2 linked regions of the Bombyx mori genome follow. The protein of the gene in region 1 purifies or fractionates together with the protein of each later gene. This does not show direct contact. Links are inferred from orthologs where the notes say so. Each region holds a gene or a part of one and is shown on either strand. Other genes may lie near its edges.

Region 1 (8,921 bases):
ATCGAATGTTACTAAGAACACCACAAGATTCCTTCTTTCTGATAGATTAACATTTTTAATACGCTTTTATTAGCTTCAGACGTATGTAGGTATGTATGTTTGTAACGGAATTTTTGAACATGATTTTCAGAATATTATCAAAATAACCATTCTGCTCATACCTGTTCATAAAATATTTATAACTACTGATACCATGCAGCCCACGCTTTTTTTACGATAAAATATTTTTTTCTTACACTATTTTTAATTCAAATTCATTAAAAAAAAATTTCTATTTTTAGTTGGTTTTTCTATAAAAGCGTATTTTGTTAGATTTTTTTAAACTATTATTTATTTATTTTATTCTAGAGAATTCTGCGGGCACAGCTCGTCGAGATGCGATCTCAGAAGAGGTCAATATAAAAAGGTTACAATTAAAACTATTTAAGTTTTACGATCGCCATTTTAAAGATTAAAATTTGGAAAAAATATATCATAACAAAAAAACTTCTTCAGCAATTGGAATGGGGTAAATTTAATTGAAGTTCAATTACACAATTCACAGTAGGCAGCGGCTTGGCTCTGCCCCTGGCATTGCTGAAGTCCATGGGCGACGGTAACCACTCACCATCAGGTGGGCCGTATGCTCGTCTGCCTACAAGGGCAATAAAAAAAATAAAAAAAAAATAATTAAAAAACATCGAATTGTTGATAGTAGTAATACCAAATAAAACGCACCTTTAATTACAAAGATAAATGTCGCGTATTAAGCGAAATGTCGCTTAAACTAAATAGCTTTCACCCCTCGATATAATTACAGTAAAAACACTCGTTGTTAAACCGGAAAATTAGATTCAGTTATGTCTACGAATCACGATTACCCAAGAAAATCTATAATCTATACATCTACAGTGGTTTTTACGGATACTCCGTTATAACTACTGAACCATGCATCCGATTGAATTGAAACTTGGTATCCATGTAGAAAATACATGTACTTAATGGACAGGCTAATATTTATATGAGTGTTGAACTCCCTACACCAGTTTCGGGGGCGTTAATAATGAGAATCTTTGTGGGGGTGAGAAATAATAATGTTAATTTGAAATGCCCAGCGAAGCGGACGGGTACAACTAGTACTATATATACATACATACTTTATAGTACTGTTTGTGATTTAATATATTTTTTGTCTTTCAATAGAGGGACAATAATGTGCACACAGCTATTACTTTAGCCAATAAACATTTTAACTTGAATGTCGCTTTAGACCTCGAGACACCAGATCGAAGTCTCAAATTTACAATACGACTGTTCCACTTTACGAATCGAAGCATCACAAAGTTTTGGGGCAGAAATGGATAGCAAACCTAACCTTACGGGCTGACAAGCTCTCTCTCTCTCTGCCACCGCGAATTACGAACGAATTCATAAAATCCACGCCGTTATTGTTACATCATTGAAATACGCCCAAAACACGTCATTACGGATCTTCCCGATCCATTAACGGTGCTTTTAGGTACCACAAGCACTGGTCACCGTCCTCGCCGAACCCGTCGCTTGCGACGAAGGTCTCGACGAGCGAATTAACCCATAGACACAGCCCAGAGTTTCCCGCCGGATCTTCTCAGTGAGCCGCGTTTCCGATTCGGTGGTAGATTCTGCGAAGCACTGCTCTTGCTAGGGCCAGTATTAGCATCACTCCGGTTTGAGCCCCGTAAGCTCACTTACACGTTATAGAAGGTGAAATAGCCTCTCAAGGCTATCAGTATAGGTAGGGAAAAAAATATATTGAAATAGTTCGTGATGTTAAGTATTTACTTAAAGAAAATACTGGCACCGGCATGTTTAAAAATTTGAAAAGTAACATAATCTCATCACTGTATACAAGTGCGCGAGGCGTCTTACCAATCGGGCCATGTACGCTTATAGGTTTTCGTATTTGAAAATAATTCTGGTTCGTGAAATCAATAAAATGACTATAATAAATAAATGATATTATAATACTCACTTTCCCATATAGGATTTCTTCTGTCCTTCGTATTCCTTAACAATATCGCCGACCGGACGACGCCTTTTGCGTGATTTCTTAACATCTTCAGGGGTGTCCAATTGTGTCGGTGGCTTGGGTTTTTGAAATTCTACAAGTATTTATTTTTATTAATCTATTTCATTCTTCATAGAACCTTCTTTCTGTTACATAATAAAATAAAATCCTATCTTGTTTGTTTAAATGTATATTCTTAAAAATAAATTAAAAATAAATAAGAAATTAAAGCTTATTAGTAAACCTTTTACAGCGCGTTACATCAAGCACAGAGCATTCATTGATCATGTTCTGGCAATAACCCTTTCAGAACCGAGACAAGCCCCAAGAATAAACATTTCCAAAAAAAATGGAATCACCTTTTCGTATAATCTAAAAAAACAGTCCACAACCACGTGAATGGTGGAAATACATAAAGGACAAACACATAAACAGTGATTTTTAATTATATAGATCACTGGCTGTTACAGGCTTTACAGACTTTGCCTGTGTGGTGGAGGTAAAGGTGTCAGTGTAGTTTCGCACGAGAATGAGATGTTCTTTCGGGATAAAAATGGTAGCCTATAGTAGCCTAGCACTCTTGACCAAACACTATCACTTTTGAAAAAATCATGTCAATCCGTTACTTTAGTTTTATGTGAAGGACGGACAAATGAACACAGTATAAATGTGAATTATAATATTATTATATTATTTCCGGTTCGAAGGACCAATGTGTAGAGCGTGGACTGTATTTTGTGCTGGTCGCTTCAATAATTAATATGTATTCAGAGAGAAGGTTATTTTTATTTTATTTTAATTAGTTACAATACGTGCACATACGACCTGAATTGTTGATTGATTTACAATGACTGTGTTGTCAAAATTATTATTCTATTTCAGAATTCAAAAAATAGTAATAAAAACTTCATGTTTAGAATTGCTCTAAACATAGATACACATAATTTTTTCGAATTAGTATCGAGATTAGATTACTGACGACACAAGCACCACAAGTGTCTAATGTTTCTCACCTGGACACCCATCATTTTTCCAGTTGTTCCAATGTTCTTCTCGCTTTAGTATGCTTTTAACGCATTCCGCAAATTTCTTCCCATTCGGTGGAGTCTCACCGAGCAAACGATAAATCTGAGAGGTTGTATCTTTAATCCAATCAGACTGGTCAGATTTTAGTTCCTGCGCTTCTCTAGAAAATCAATAGTGGTTCATTTACATTCCCACATATATGACTCGAGAAGATGTCTATAATTTTTGAAGATTGAGGTAAGTCTTTAGTGTGTGTCTAATCAAACTGATGTCTATGAACGAAGGTGACTTCTTACTACCAGGTGGACCAAGTCCTGGATAAGTCTCAAATTCCAAAAGAAAATTACAGAATATTTCATTCAACAAGCTGCATCTGCATTTACTCTGAATTGTATTGTAATGAAAACATATTGATACTAATATTATCAGTCTAAATTTCGTAATCAGTGGAACTAAAACTAATGGAACAATTATGTAGCGTGATAGTTACACATTGGTAGTCAAAGAGAGAGCGGGAAATATTACCTTAAATAAGCATGTCTATATCTAGAGGCAGCGGTTTGGCTCTGCCCCTGGCATTGCCGAAGTTCATGGGCGACGGTAACCACTCACCATCAGGTGGGCCGTATGCTCGTCTGCCTACAAGGGCAATAAAATATATATATATATATTATAGGCTCTAGAGTAAAACAGATAAGTTGCTTACAAAATGGCAAAGATTTTTGTTTTCTACCTAAGCTGATAGCCTTGAAAGGCTATATCAGCATTAGTTTTTTGAAAACTAGTTACAATTGGAACCAACACACAGTAAATTAGTGTTCAATTTGGTATCCTTAGTTTTTGAAACCTGAATATATTGGATTTTTCATTCAACAAACGGAGATTCATTTCATTATTTGAGAAAAATAATTCATATTACTTCTTTTATAATTACAAAGACTCTAAATAATAATTTGCGATACGCTTACAGTACATACGTTTTGAACTTAACAGTTGACATCAGATACTGAAACAGTATTAGAAACTGTATGAGGACGCATCTTCTGAAGTTCGAATCTGATAATTGCAACTCTAACAATTTCTGATTGGTTAGAAATTTTGCAAAGTAATGCTGCTCTTTGCCTTGACCCTGCATTTCCACGTCAGTCAATGGCTTCAATCGATTCATTTTAGATTTCTGCAGCTCAACTGTCTCTAGCTTGTAGGATGAGAATGCGGACAATACACTACCAGAGTGCTGAAAACATCAAGAAATCATATTTTAATTTGATTGATGATAGCAAAATGACCCAAGTCTGTCTGTATATGTAGAAGGCTAGCGTTGACTGAGACATATATGAAAGATCATAACCAATGTCTCTAAAGTCTTTATGGTTTAAGCTTGAGTGACTTAAAAGAGAAAATCACATGGTGAGCAATAATTACAGAAGTGAATCAGCTGCTGGCTGGCTACTGCTCTTAGAGTAACATGAAAATTTGGGCATTGAGAATAATAGATCAAAACAGAAGTAGTGAGAAGTTCTAAATATTTTTGTTAAGTCTGTTTTCTGTAGCTTGGTTGTGTCAGATTTTTTACAGTTATGGGATTTTTGTCTTATCTGTTTCCAGCATGGGAGTAAAATCATAGATTAAAAATAATGAATAGTTACTGTTTTGTTTTACAATTTAGAACATTAGTGGAGGATTACAGTACAGTCCACAAATAAAAATGCAGATAAGAATTCAATAAATAAAAATAAACTTACTGCAACAAAGGTCTTCCACTGGAGTTTATTGTAACAAGTATTAGGATTTCTGAAGAATTCTTGCAAACTCCAGAATCTACAGTATAAATTGTAATCTATAGTCAGTTTATGTTTTTCATTATCAATAACCATTTCTTCTTCCAAAGCATCTTTCAGTGTACTTGAATTATCAACACCAAATTCCGTTATATTTTCTAAATTGAATTCAGAGACTATATTAAGACCGGAGCGTTCAGAGAATGGAAAGAATTTTGCCAAAAAAAGTAGAATACGTCCACAGAAAACTGTATTTTGAGATCGAGAAAGTCTTCTTAATAAATCATTACACATTCTCAATAAATTATTTTTGCATGCCACGAAAAATAGTTCTTCCTTCCATATACTGACACCTTTTTCAATGTATGAGAATAATTGTTCACATTTATTTAGTGTGAGGGCGTCAAAGATATCGCCAAGTAATACAACAGGCATTGTTGGCGTAACCATAAGTCGCCTGCATGATTCTATGCAGAACGATACAAAATTTTCAAGAGTGTTATGATCCTCAGTAAGTAATTCAAGTAGCTTATCCCTAAATGCTTGGTCCATAGCTGCTTTTCTGTCAGTTTCGTCAGTGTTTTTGGAAAAAGAATCGATGAGGTCAATGTTGTTCGTTGCAAAGGCTTTAGAAAGTACATCCTGAAATCAATGAGTGTTTTTCAAAAATTTTGTCGATTTCAATTTCAAATATTTTTGTAGGTTAATAACCGTATCTTACTTTGTATTTCGTGCGGAGTTCTTCGAATCCTGGTTTGCTCGACATATTGGTCGTATTCGATGTTGTTATTACACTTTTAATTAATTGGCAATCACTATTAAATATTTATGAGATTTTTTTTTTTTTTTTCTTCAATATGGCGATCAAACTTCATTCGGAAGCTTATTTTAGCCAGAGTCGAGTCAGCCAAAGGCGACATAGTAACTTCATCTTGAGGTGTCGAGTTGCCATGATATTCCAGTGTAGAGGGATAGGAGCAGGGACTTTAGAAATAGGCGGTATAGGAGGAACTAGGGCAATATATACATATAGTAAAATATAGTAATGTAAAGAAGAAAAGATATTATAATAAAATATTATGGAAGGTTAGAAAAGAAATAAGAGCTTTAGTATATTTGAAATCAACAAAGGAAAGTATAGTGTAGGAGTCACAAGGGAGAGGAGCACGAAATTTTATAAGGAATTCATAAAGTGGTTTGGATTTGTATTTGACACATTCAAATAATGTATGTTCGATGTTTCCATTGGTATTGCAATGTTCACAAGCATCTGAGTCAACGACACCAATTCTCGATAAATGACTGGGTAAACTACAATGGCCAAATCTTAATCTCGATATGGTAGATGTTACTTTTTTTGGGAAATGAAACTTAGAAAACCAAGGTTTTAAATTAATTTTGATATGAAGACGACGATATCGTCCACCTTTTGATAAACAAGACTTTTCCCACTGGGAGTTCCAATCTTTTAAAAGATACTCCCGAGGCTTTTCTAGTAGGTCTTGAGTATACACTTTGTCAATATATGTATTACCCTGCCTTGCGGCCATAGCAGCTAAATCATCTACCAATTCATTTCCTTGGATGCCCGAATGGCCAGGAATCCATGCTAATGTGACTCGTAAATTTGAATCATGACATTCTTTTAATTTAAGTTTAACCTCAAGAGAAAGCGGACAAGGAGGTTTCTTTTTAAATGGATTTGATAAAAGAGACTGAAGAAAGCTCAATGAATCAGAAAATATATATGAATTCTCTATTTTATTGCAAATTATATATTTGACACATTCAAGGACAGCCATGCCTTCTCCAACAAAGTTTGAAGAAAGATGTGGATATTTATAAAGACGAAAATGACCTGACGAGAGTCTTAAGAAAGCAGCTCCTACGCTTTTTTCATCCGAGGAAACGGATTTAGACGCGTCAGTATAGAAATCTTCCGATTTAGGTTCTAAGTTTTTAATAAAGGAGGCTAATTTTGAGTTTGCCGAGCTTGATCCTTTTTGGATATCATCTATTGATAACTTGATATCGGGTACAAACATTAAAGTCTCGTAATCATATGAAAAAGTTGAGTGGCATTGAAATTTATGAATTGAACAACGTAGTTCTAAAAATCTTCTATAGCTAGAAACTAAGTAAGGGATTTTCCTGTTACGCCAGAAAGCATTTCGTCCATTAATAACTTCACAAAGATTTTGTAGTTTTAAAATTAAAGGGTGTCCATGATATTGTTGAATTTTAAATATAAATCTATCAGAAAGGTATTGTCTACGCAAAGATAGCGGCGGTTCAGAGCATTCTATTTGTAAAGCATTTATTGGAGTACTATTCATGGCTCCAATAACGATCCTGAGACTTTTATGTTGTAATAAATCTAATTTATGTAGAGGTTCTTTGTTTTCAAGACAAAAAGTTATGGAGCCAAAGTCTAATATACTACGTACCAAAGCATTATACATTAACCTAAGTACACCAGGATGAGACCCCCACCAAACGCCACTTACAGCTCTCATAATATTTATGTTTTTCTCACATTTTCTTACAATGTCGTTGATATGAGCGTTACCGTTCATACTAGAATCAAAAATGCGACCAAGAAATTTCGCCTCTTTAACCACTGGTATTCGTTCTCCATCAACAGAAATATTTACGGTGGGAACTTTTCTTTTCCGCGTAAAAACAACTATGAGACTTTTAGATTTAGATAACGAAAGATTTTGGGCAGAGAGCCAGGATGATAACTTGTTTAATGAATCGTTAAGAGTTTCCGCTGCTATTTTAATATCACGGTTAGCAGAGTAAACTAAGACATCATCTGCATATTGTAAGATGGAACAGGAAGGATCAACATTTAAATGGAGATCGAAAGTATAAATGTCATATAATAGAGGACTTAGAACAGAACCCTGAGGGATACCTTTCCAAACTTTTCTTATTTTGTCCTCAAAACCAGGTATATGTAAAGAAATAGTCCTTCCAGTATATAAATTAAAAATGAAATCAATAAATTTTAATGGTAATTTTAAATCCGACATTTTTTCTTTTAATTTAATTAAGTTTACATTATCATACGCGCTTTGAATATCTAAAAAGGCTCCCACAACCGATTCAGATTTCGAAAAAGACAAAAAAATGTCTGTTGCAAAAATGGCATGGCTATCGGACACACCTTTACCTCTTCTGAACCCATATTGAGAGCAAGGCAAAAGATTGTTATGTTCTACGTACCACTCAAATCTTTGTTTAATTAAATGTTCTGCTAATTTTACCAAAACAGATGATAACGCTACAGGTCTATAAGATAAAGGATTATTTGAATCTTTGTTAGGCTTTAATATAGGTATTATAATTTGATGTTTCCAGGAAGAAGGTATTATACCAGTGTCTATTATAGAATTAATTAAATTCAGTAAATATGATAGGGTTATAGGTTTTGAATTAATTAAGAAAGAGTAAGGAATACCATCACATCCTGGAGTGGAGTCTGATAACCGGTTCAATACTAATTGAAGTTCCGGCAAAGAAAATGAACACGCTAAGTTATTATTAATATTAGAGTTATCTGATATATAAGAGTATGTATAAGGCAATTGGTCAAACTTAGGAACCATAGTGGGTGCGATATTGTCCAAAAAAGGATTAATCCATTCTTGCGATGTATAATTTCTAGATGGGGCTATAAAAGAAGATCTAAACATTCTTATATTTTTCCAGATTAGGGAGGATGGCGAATCAGGCGAAAGCTTGGAACAAAATCTTTTCCATCCCTCTTTTTTCTTTTTCCGAAGAAGCCTTTTAGTGGCCGCTTCAACATTTTTATAAAATAAATAACTATGCATGGTCAAACATTGCTTATTAAGTTTTTCTGCATCATTTCTTTTATTGACAGCTTCTGTACATTCTTTGTCCCACCATGGGGGAGAAGATATTTTCTTATGGGCAACATTCTTTTTGGGGATATGTTTATCTGCAGCTGCTAAGTATGCCGTAATAAGGTTATCATACGCCTTGTTTATGTTGTTATAATCATCAAGAGTAGATAAACTTGGAAGGGACATAATTTTCGATTCGACTTCTTGACTAAA
Region 2 (8,977 bases), on another chromosome or scaffold:
AAATGAAAAACAAGGTTGATGAGTTGTAAAATTTATTCAATTCAGTGATGTACAAAGACACCAACACCTTGGTTTACAAATTTATATGGCTTGCTCCTGTTACGTCCTCTAACTGGATGAAGTATAACTTTGTCTGGTGGAAATTCTGGGGAATCGCTTGTTTCCAATAGAATATCAAGACAGGCTAATAATTTTGTTATTTGAGTAGAAAGGGTGCAGTGCTTGCGTTCCTCTAAACCTATCTCAGTATTTACGACTCTTTCAATATCCCGGATATCATCATTAATACCTGCGTGATGAGTGCCATTCCAGTGTAAAGTTAGAGAAAATATTGGCACGCTCTTAGGATAATCGCTTCTGAGGGCAACTAAAGCCACCAACTTAGCTGATTGTCTGGTAATTATCGCTCTATAAAGTAAATCATTTGCAGATACTAAACCTTCAGTTACAAGAAAAGCTGTTGATGGAGCCTGACTGTATTCAGGCCAACCAACAGACTGCCACTGAGTCAAAGAACCTGCTAGACGCATAGAAGGAGGCAAGCTTCCTTTTGGTGGTGAAATCTTTCCTGATTCTAGATCTTGTAGCTCATGCATAAGTTTTACTCTACATTTTAGTCTCTTTTTCAATGTCATGATAAAATTTTCAACAGTGGCGACACTGAGATTAGGACACGGTTCAACAGCTCTTCTAACAGATTGCTCATTCAATTCTGAAGTCATAAAATCAATTCCACACATTCTTTGTGCCCAAACGTATGGGCGTCCAATTTCTGGTATGAAATAAGAAAAGCTTTCCGATATACCTGCATTTTTTAGTAAATAAGAAGTTGCAGGGTGGGGTGAATCATCTCCCGTATCCCCTGGGTACAGTTCATTTAAAATAGAATGTCCATTTAGAACATCAGCAGCAGATACACCAGTGACAGGTTTGGGTAGCGATACAGTAAACTTCACAACTATAATTTTCAAGTTTATGAGGTATGATAATATGAGATTCAATGCAGTACCATCTTCTGCTTTAACTGAAACTTGTACATTTAAAGGATGTTTCTTGAATACTCGTTTTATTTTAGCTTCTGCTTTGTCTTCTTTAGATACGTTTTTAGTTCTGTGATGTCGTTTCTTTTTGGTTTGTTGATCTTCATCATTATTTTCTTGATCTGAATCTGACTCATTTGATGAAATAATATCATTTTCAACATTGTTTTGATCATGCCGGCGAGCTTCATCTTCATCACCGCAAACACCTACAATATGAAATACATGTACATATATTTTTTTCTAAATAAAAAAATACGTTTGAGTGGGTATTATATTATAAGCAAAAACTTTAATTCTATTAAGATTTTTTTCTTCATATGCTGGTAGCCTCGCGGTGGTATGCCAGCTTCGCCGGGCGACTAAGTGAGCTCATGGGACGGCGACCCTTCGGCGCGCACTGAGCGGTACCGTGGGTTTCGTGGAGTCGGAGTGGTGGGGCTCGATGGGGTTTAGTCGGTAGTCGGTTTTGCGGGGTAGCTCTTGCGTGGCTGACGCCGTGCAGTGCCTCGCGCGCCTTTCCCAAGGCGTAATCTCCCGGCAGGAATTGGGAGAAGAGGAGGACCCCTGTCTTCTTCTTCTTCCTGTTCTTCTCTGGAGGCGCCGGAGTCCGACATAACCCGGTCTCTTACCCCCATCGACCGGGTATCCGTAAATGGATTCCCCAGCGTTAAAAAAAAAAAAGGTGAGCTCATGGGACTTTATCCTAAGGAGTTTTCCAACACTAGCCCTAGCAGGCCTGCTTCGCTGTCTACCACCGGATCGGAAACGCGACCTATTGAAAAGATCCGGCGAGAAACTCAGTGGGCTGTGTCTTAGGGTTAATTTGCTCCGTAAGCTCTTTGTCGCAAGCGACGGGTTTGACGAGAACGATGACCGATGCATGGGGTACCTAACTGCACCGATAGTGGATCGGGGGATCCGAAATGGCGTGTTTAGGACGACTGTTTACCCTTTGCTCTGCTGAATTGGGTATGTAAATCTATGAACTTTAAGATGCAATGAATATTTTGAGCTTTGAAATTGCTTACCAACACTAATAACTTTGCTTCCTAAAATATCAGAATATGCGTTTGCATTTTTAAATAGTAGGAATAGTGATGCTGGAAGCAAGCTTGCGGCCCTGGCTTCATCACGTTTTTCATCCAAGCGTAGAGCAAGACATTCTTGCAAAGGTTTAGTGGATTTCAAGACATCTTTCAGATGTGGAGCCAATGCATCAAGTCTAGAACGTGCAGCAGCAATGGCAGCTGCTACTCGTTCCTTGGAAGATATGAGTTCATTACAGGCTTCAGATAATTCACGACGTTGACGTAACTCCCACTCCAGTCGGGCTAATTGTAATTGATGTTCATCAGCCTTTGTGACCTCCTAAAATTTTACACATTGTCATATTGTTGAATTTGTCAGTACCATTACTGCAACAACTCATCTGATCAGTATCAAAGTTACAAGTACTCAGTATCAAGTGTCTGAGATATGTGTGGAATATGTCATATGTATATTTGTAAGGGGAAACAATGTGAATCATATGACTGGCACCCTCACCAGGACAGATTAAAAGCAGTCATACTTCTGTCATGCCTAACTTTCTACTAACCGTTATGATGCTACTCAGCACGATAGCGCTTTAATGTATAAAATGACAATTGGGATGCAATGCTATCGCCCAAAAACTTAGGTAAGCTCTTGGTCCTGAGTGCATGTATATGTTTTGAACTGTTTATATTATTGCAATTCAAGTTTGGCTTCAATATTTAAAAGAAATTCAGGATTTTAGCTACCTACAGCATTTTAGGGACAAAACTAAAAAAATATTCAGAGCTGAAACGGTTAAAATATGTACATTCAGATATCAGTTACACACTGTGAAAACATACTTACTGATCTAATAATATCAGGAGGTGCATTTTTATAGAATTCTTCAAGAGGCACAAGATCTATTTCTTCATCTTTAGATTTGAATTGTAAACATTTAGTTACTTCTTTGTTTAAGTGATCTGCTTCGTAAAGTAAATTTTGTAACAGTAAATGTGTGGAATCAACTCTCTGTTTCTCTTTATGGAGCGCATCACGACCAGCTCTAGTTCGTACTTTCTCCAGGCGATTTAATTTCTTTAACGCAACCAGCAGTAATGAAGCTTCCACTCTTTTTGCATTTATCTTTTCTTTAGCCTGTAATTATAACTTTTGCCTTAATTGCATTGTTCCATATTTTATATTATTTAACATTAATTACAATTCATAATATAATCTAATCATGTCCATTTTTTTTTTTTATTTGTCGAGCCGGGTGCCGAACCTCCTACGAGGTCCCCGCGTCTAGGGGGGTGTGGGACTTTACGATCTGGTAGTCAACACTACAACCAGACACGCGACGCCACCCTGAAGACGCCGGATCGACGAGTCCTCAATGCGACAGTCGACGACAACGAAGCCGGTCTCCGCGGTACGACAGCCCTGCCAGGCCGCCCGGGCGATGCCGCTGGTGTTCCGGGATACCCAGCTGGACCAGAACCAGCCTGCCGGGTCAGAACGCGATACTCCTGCAGACGACGAAGGCCACCCATACACAGGAAAGATGTCCCTCCCCCGGGTAACGACCAAAGTGTCGTCCGTGTAACAAGCTACGCTCAGACCCGGGAGAGGAGTGCTAAGGGCACCCCGCAGGACCCAGTTCGTAGCCGACATTCCACAAGAGAGGGCCAAGGACCGACCCCTGTGGGACACCACGCTCGACGGGAAAATGGAGCACCGCCCCACAGTGCCCGGTGCACACGGCCATCCTGTTCTCGAGGTAGGACCCGACTCTTATTATGTCCTGCATTAACTATTAATTGAAAAGTGGCATACCTCCAATGTTTCTTTAGTTTTTAACTCTGCAATCTCTTTAAAAAGTTGCCTTATGTCTTGGCATGTTTTATTGAAAAAGGCAGCATCCTTATCAGCTGGACGCAGATGAGCTTCAGCTTCTTCAAATTCAACAACACGCTGGAACAATCCATTTAAAACACATTTTGTAATGAATGAAGAATCTTGAAAAATAAAGACAATTTTTTTGGTGTACTGGGATCTTGTTCAGTTTACAACTTCTCTAAGTGTTAATATTAAACTTGTTTTGAAGATCACAAGATATTTCACGAACAGGATTCACTTAATTTTTATTTTTGTTAATAATAAGTTAAAACTGAAACAAAAACTTCAACAGAAAATATAAAAGCAACAGCTTGCTAAACCAGGAGCCACAAATATAAATTCTCATTTATTAGTAGAACTATGTACTTAAATTTACATTATTATACATATTTATGGTACAGAATAATGAGTCTTGAGGTTATGTTACATCTTATATATTTTGGTCAATACCTTGTATACATCAACGGGAACTGGCTTTGTTCCGTCATTTGATGTACTTGTATTTAATTTGCGCCGTTTCTTAACAGCCGTTACTTCTTCTTTTCCCATGTTTAGTTTTATTCAAGTTTATCAGATTTCATCCAAGTCTGGAACTTTAAAAAAATCACTAATTTAAACAGACAATTACAACCTTACTGCCTATTCACTCTATTCACTGGATTTGTTTTTATATATTAAAGCTTTTACTAGCATCGTTCACGGTAATGTTTGAATTATTTTTCTTTTAATGTTAGCCTTTAATTTGAAAGGTAGTCTTTAACTATGATTTTTTTTAAATTATACTTCATTATTGTACCTACTCAGCAATAGACATGCGTAGTTCCGGACCTAAATAGTTCCTGGAACTATGTCCTCATATGGAACTATATCATTCAATCCGAGTTGTCAAAATTAACATGTTCAGACAGTTCCATTTCCATTCCAAGTGTACTGTTATGCAGGAACTACGAACGCGTTGAACATGACGGACATGCGGACATGATTAGAGCATAGGTACCGCGCGGCGCGGAGGCGTGGCGCGGCGAGTCCACCCGAACGAGTCTCGAACCGACACGAGTCCACGTAAAGAGATAAGGCGACATATGGCACGAATACGAGAGAGTGAGATGGAGCGAGTGCATGAAACTGCGTGTGGAGCTCTTTCATATTACATTTTTATTAATATTGAAGTTATGCTCTACGACCTACGTGTTACAGTCGATAGTTGAATAAATTAAAATGTTTTGCTATGGATTTTGACCTTGACCATGCATCATTCCTACGAGCACTTAACCTTAAGTGTTTGTAGACCATTTCTTAGAAAATCATAATTCAAAATTCGAGAATTTTAAAACATTCACCACTTTCGCTATTCGGTATCTCGGTTATGGGAAAAAGGTTGTAAGGCTACAACGAGCTCAATTTACGTTGTATATCAGAATAACGTGGTATTTTAATTAACAACTGATAGGTTATAGTTTTCGGTGCATCGTACAATACCTACATTGAAAAATAATGAAAGTAGTAGAGTAGTTGAAATTATGACAAAGTAATTACAGTACATTAATAAATTATGCAACCAGCTGTAACAATGAACCTAAAACTAAAAACCTTACAAAATAATATTACAATAATAATTGCCATAAGCGGCAATCTATTTTTATATAGTGCTTTTAAAAAATTGTATTTTTAATACCTTTTTTGAAAAATATTGTGTAATTAATAATAACTTAATACGTGATTCGCTACACTACAAACAGTTACTAGACTTAACATGTCCGCGGAACTAAACAGCTTCAAACAGCTACTAGACTTAATATGTCCGCGGAACTAAACAGCTACAAACTACAAACAGCTACTAGACTTAACATGTTCGTGAAACTAAACAGTTCCGCGAACATGTTTACTGGAACTAGTTCCGACACTCAAAAGAACGATGTCATGTTCAATCCAGTTCCGAACATGATTAGCGCACGTCTACTCAGCAATAGCAACTCTCCATAAATGTCAGTAAATGTCAGTTAAGCATCCTCAAATATTACCTATGTGATAATCTATGTGTGCATCTCTCAGCTCATAGATTTCGACTTTTTGGCGGGAATGCGAGGAGTGAAGCTGTGTGATATGTTTTATTTTGTCTATTTGGTATTTCTTCAGGTTTGAATGTATGATAATGGTGGTTTATTACCTGTTTAGTATTTGCGAAAGGGCACAAATGTGGGAAAATGAAACAAAGTCGCTAGACGTAACTCCTCGGGATCCTCCAAAAAGTCCACTGAAAGAATCTCAGTAAATGACCACCATTTTACTGAGATCATAAATATTTCATCCCATATCATCTCATTTCATTTAATTTCATCCCAGTTGATTAGTTATCTAGTTTATTTTATATAAAATGACTATGATCCCTTTGCCTCTTTAAGTACACAAAACAAAGGACATTTGTTTTTGCTTTCCACCTTGAGAAGGTCAAAAATATCACTGCTGTAATCGCGCCAGCAACCAAATCCTTATATTTTGCCAAACCCGGCTTGTAAGGTGCAATTTTGTTAAATAAGGATATCGCTTAATTTAAGGTTTGTAATTTATTATTATTATGATGTGTATGGATTACAAAAAAGTGGAGTAGTGCAAAAATTTTCAATACAAAAAAATTAGATGCCGATCATTAGCCATCCAATTTTACGTAAATTTCATTGTATCCGTTGAAAATGACTAATTCTTAAACCCCGTGAGCGCAATGAATTTGTAATAAACATTTTAAATCAAAAAATATTTTAAAGTAGGAATTATGATTGTACAACCTATGTTTGACCTTGCCGGCGCATCTCATTCGATTAGCGTTAGCAATAGAAGTAAAAGTAATAGAATTAATCCTTTAATACCCTCAATCGATACAATAAATCTTTTTGCAGTATTCAAGGTAAGTCTCGTGACTAGGCTGTGTGCTTTGGAAATCAGAAGTAGTAATAAGTTGAAATAATGGGGTGTTTTATTAAGCAAATAAGAGTGTCAAGATCCTAAATGGGAAATTGGTGGTTGTATTTTAGGTCTCGGTGGTTCTATGTCTAAGATTTTAAAGGTTGCGTAAATTGCTGGATGTGGGCTATGTAAGACCAGTCATTGTGGTAAACCTTGCTTATATACAGCAGTAAATTTCTGTGGGCTGATGATCCTGAGGTCACTGGGTTTAAATCATACTTTCAATTTAATGACTTGTCCCATACATTTCTATCAACAGATGAACAAAAAAGATATCTGAAAAAATTGAAACTAAATTGCCAAATCTAAAATTCACATATACTAAGCATTATATAGAAATACAATAAAATAGTAATTTTGTATTGATTTAACCTTTAGGATCTATTAAAAATTAGTTTTTTGAGATTGAGATTGCAAGTTTTTTTCTGAACTAAATGAAAATTCAAAATTTCCATCAATTTTACACATCTTTTATTTTTGTAAATTGGACAAAGTCATTTGTCCTTTTATCAAGATAGATATACCGGTATACTTTAAGTGTCTTAACCATGTTGATGGGGCATGATGACTTCTAAACTACTGCCAGTGCTCTCCAAATAAAATGAAAAATTTTTTTTTTTCTAGAAAGTCTAGTTCAGTATTAAAAATGGTAATAAAATCAATCAAGGCTCGTCAAATCTTTGACTCTCGTGGCAACCCTACTGTGGAAGTTGATCTGGTAAGTTTTTTGTTACAAATTATCAACAACTAAATTACTGAAATTCTTTGAAAAATGTAAAGTACCTTTTAATTCTGTGAACAGGTAACAGAGCTTGGCTTGTTCCGGGCAGCTGTACCCTCTGGTGCATCCACTGGTGTTCATGAAGCTCTTGAACTAAGAGATAACATCAAGAGTGAATATCATGGCAAGGGAGTTTTGACCGCAATCAAAAATATCAATGAACTCATTGCTCCTGAACTTACAAAAGCCAACCTCGAAGTAACCCAACAGAGAGAGGTAATTATTTTTAAATCTCAAACAAGAGTAGATATTTCGAAAGGACTCAAAAAAAACTTGAGTGTGGTATTAACATTCAATTGAAGTGGAATTAATATTGATAGGATTTTCATATTAACAAGAAATGTATTTAATAGTTTAAAAATAATATTAAATATATTTAAAAAAGTATATGTCAGCTATGTAAACCTTTTAAATTAACAGATTGATGAACTCATGCTTAAGTTGGATGGCACTGAGAACAAATCCAAACTGGGTGCTAATGCTATCCTTGGAGTTTCCCTAGCTGTTGCTAAGGCTGGTGCTGCCAAGAAGAATGTTCCGCTGTACAAGCACTTGGCTGATTTGGCTGGAAATAATGACATTGTTCTACCTGTACCAGCATTCAATGTGATCAATGGAGGATCACATGCTGGAAATAAACTTGCCATGCAGGAATTCATGATTTTCCCTACAGGTAATTTAATTTTTTAAATTATTAGTGGTAGGACTTCTTGTAAGTCAGAATGGATAGGTACCACCAGTCTTCCTGCTATATATGCCGTGAAGGCGTAAAGCATTTCTATTCGTAAGGTGGGGCAGCCATTATACTATAAATTGAGACTTAGAACTAATGCCTCAAGGTTGTTATTTTACCACTTAAAACCAGCTGGGCTGTGAGCTAGTTCACCCATCTACGCAATAAAAAAATCATTGGTTCCAAAATAACATGTCAAGATATGAAGAAAGCCAAAGATCAGTCTCAGTAATAAAACTGGGGAGAGGCCAATATACAGCTATTGAAAACTGTGGGCTGATCATAATGCAGTTCCAAATTAAGTAAATAAATTGACTTCAAAATGAAAATATCATTTTAACAGGGGCATCCACCTTCAGTGAAGCCATGAGGATGGGTTCAGAAGTGTACCACCATTTGAAAAAGATCATTAAGGAGAAGTTTGGATTGGACTCTACGGCTGTTGGTGATGAAGGTGGTTTCGCTCCAAACATACAAAACAACAAGGATGCTCTTTATCTGATTCAGGATGCTATCCAGAAAGCTGGCTATGCTGGCAAGGTATGA

Evidence for each region.
Region 2: the proteins of THO complex subunit 1 (region 1) and THO complex subunit 5 homolog purify together in Drosophila melanogaster (affinity purification with western blotting; 5 studies listed by BioGRID, with this or other methods). This does not show direct contact. The link is inferred for Bombyx mori from reciprocal best matches to the Drosophila melanogaster genes Hpr1 and thoc5.

What each region holds. Positions count from the first base shown.
Region 1 is NC_085117.1:15,873,754-15,882,674, forward strand, and holds part of THO complex subunit 1, read right to left. Parts: 5' UTR 5,600-8,921; coding exon 5,555-5,599; intron 5,476-5,554; coding exon 4,798-5,475; intron 4,290-4,797; coding exon 4,030-4,289; intron 3,213-4,029; coding exon 3,040-3,212; intron 2,121-3,039; coding exon 1,991-2,120; intron 1-1,990.
Region 2 is NC_085114.1:10,647,070-10,656,046, forward strand, and holds THO complex subunit 5 homolog, read right to left. Parts: upstream 5,985-8,977; 5' UTR 5,917-5,984; intron 5,898-5,916; exon of another isoform or gene 5,632-5,897; intron 5,255-5,631; exon of another isoform or gene 4,644-5,254; intron 4,564-4,643; exon of another isoform or gene 4,550-4,563; 5' UTR 4,506-4,549; coding exon 4,407-4,505; intron 4,032-4,406; coding exon 3,894-4,031; intron 3,216-3,893; coding exon 2,925-3,215; intron 2,412-2,924; coding exon 2,072-2,411; intron 1,250-2,071; coding exon 42-1,249; 3' UTR 16-41; downstream 1-15. UniProt on the Drosophila melanogaster protein: The THO complex is required for cell proliferation and for proper export of heat-shock mRNAs under heat stress.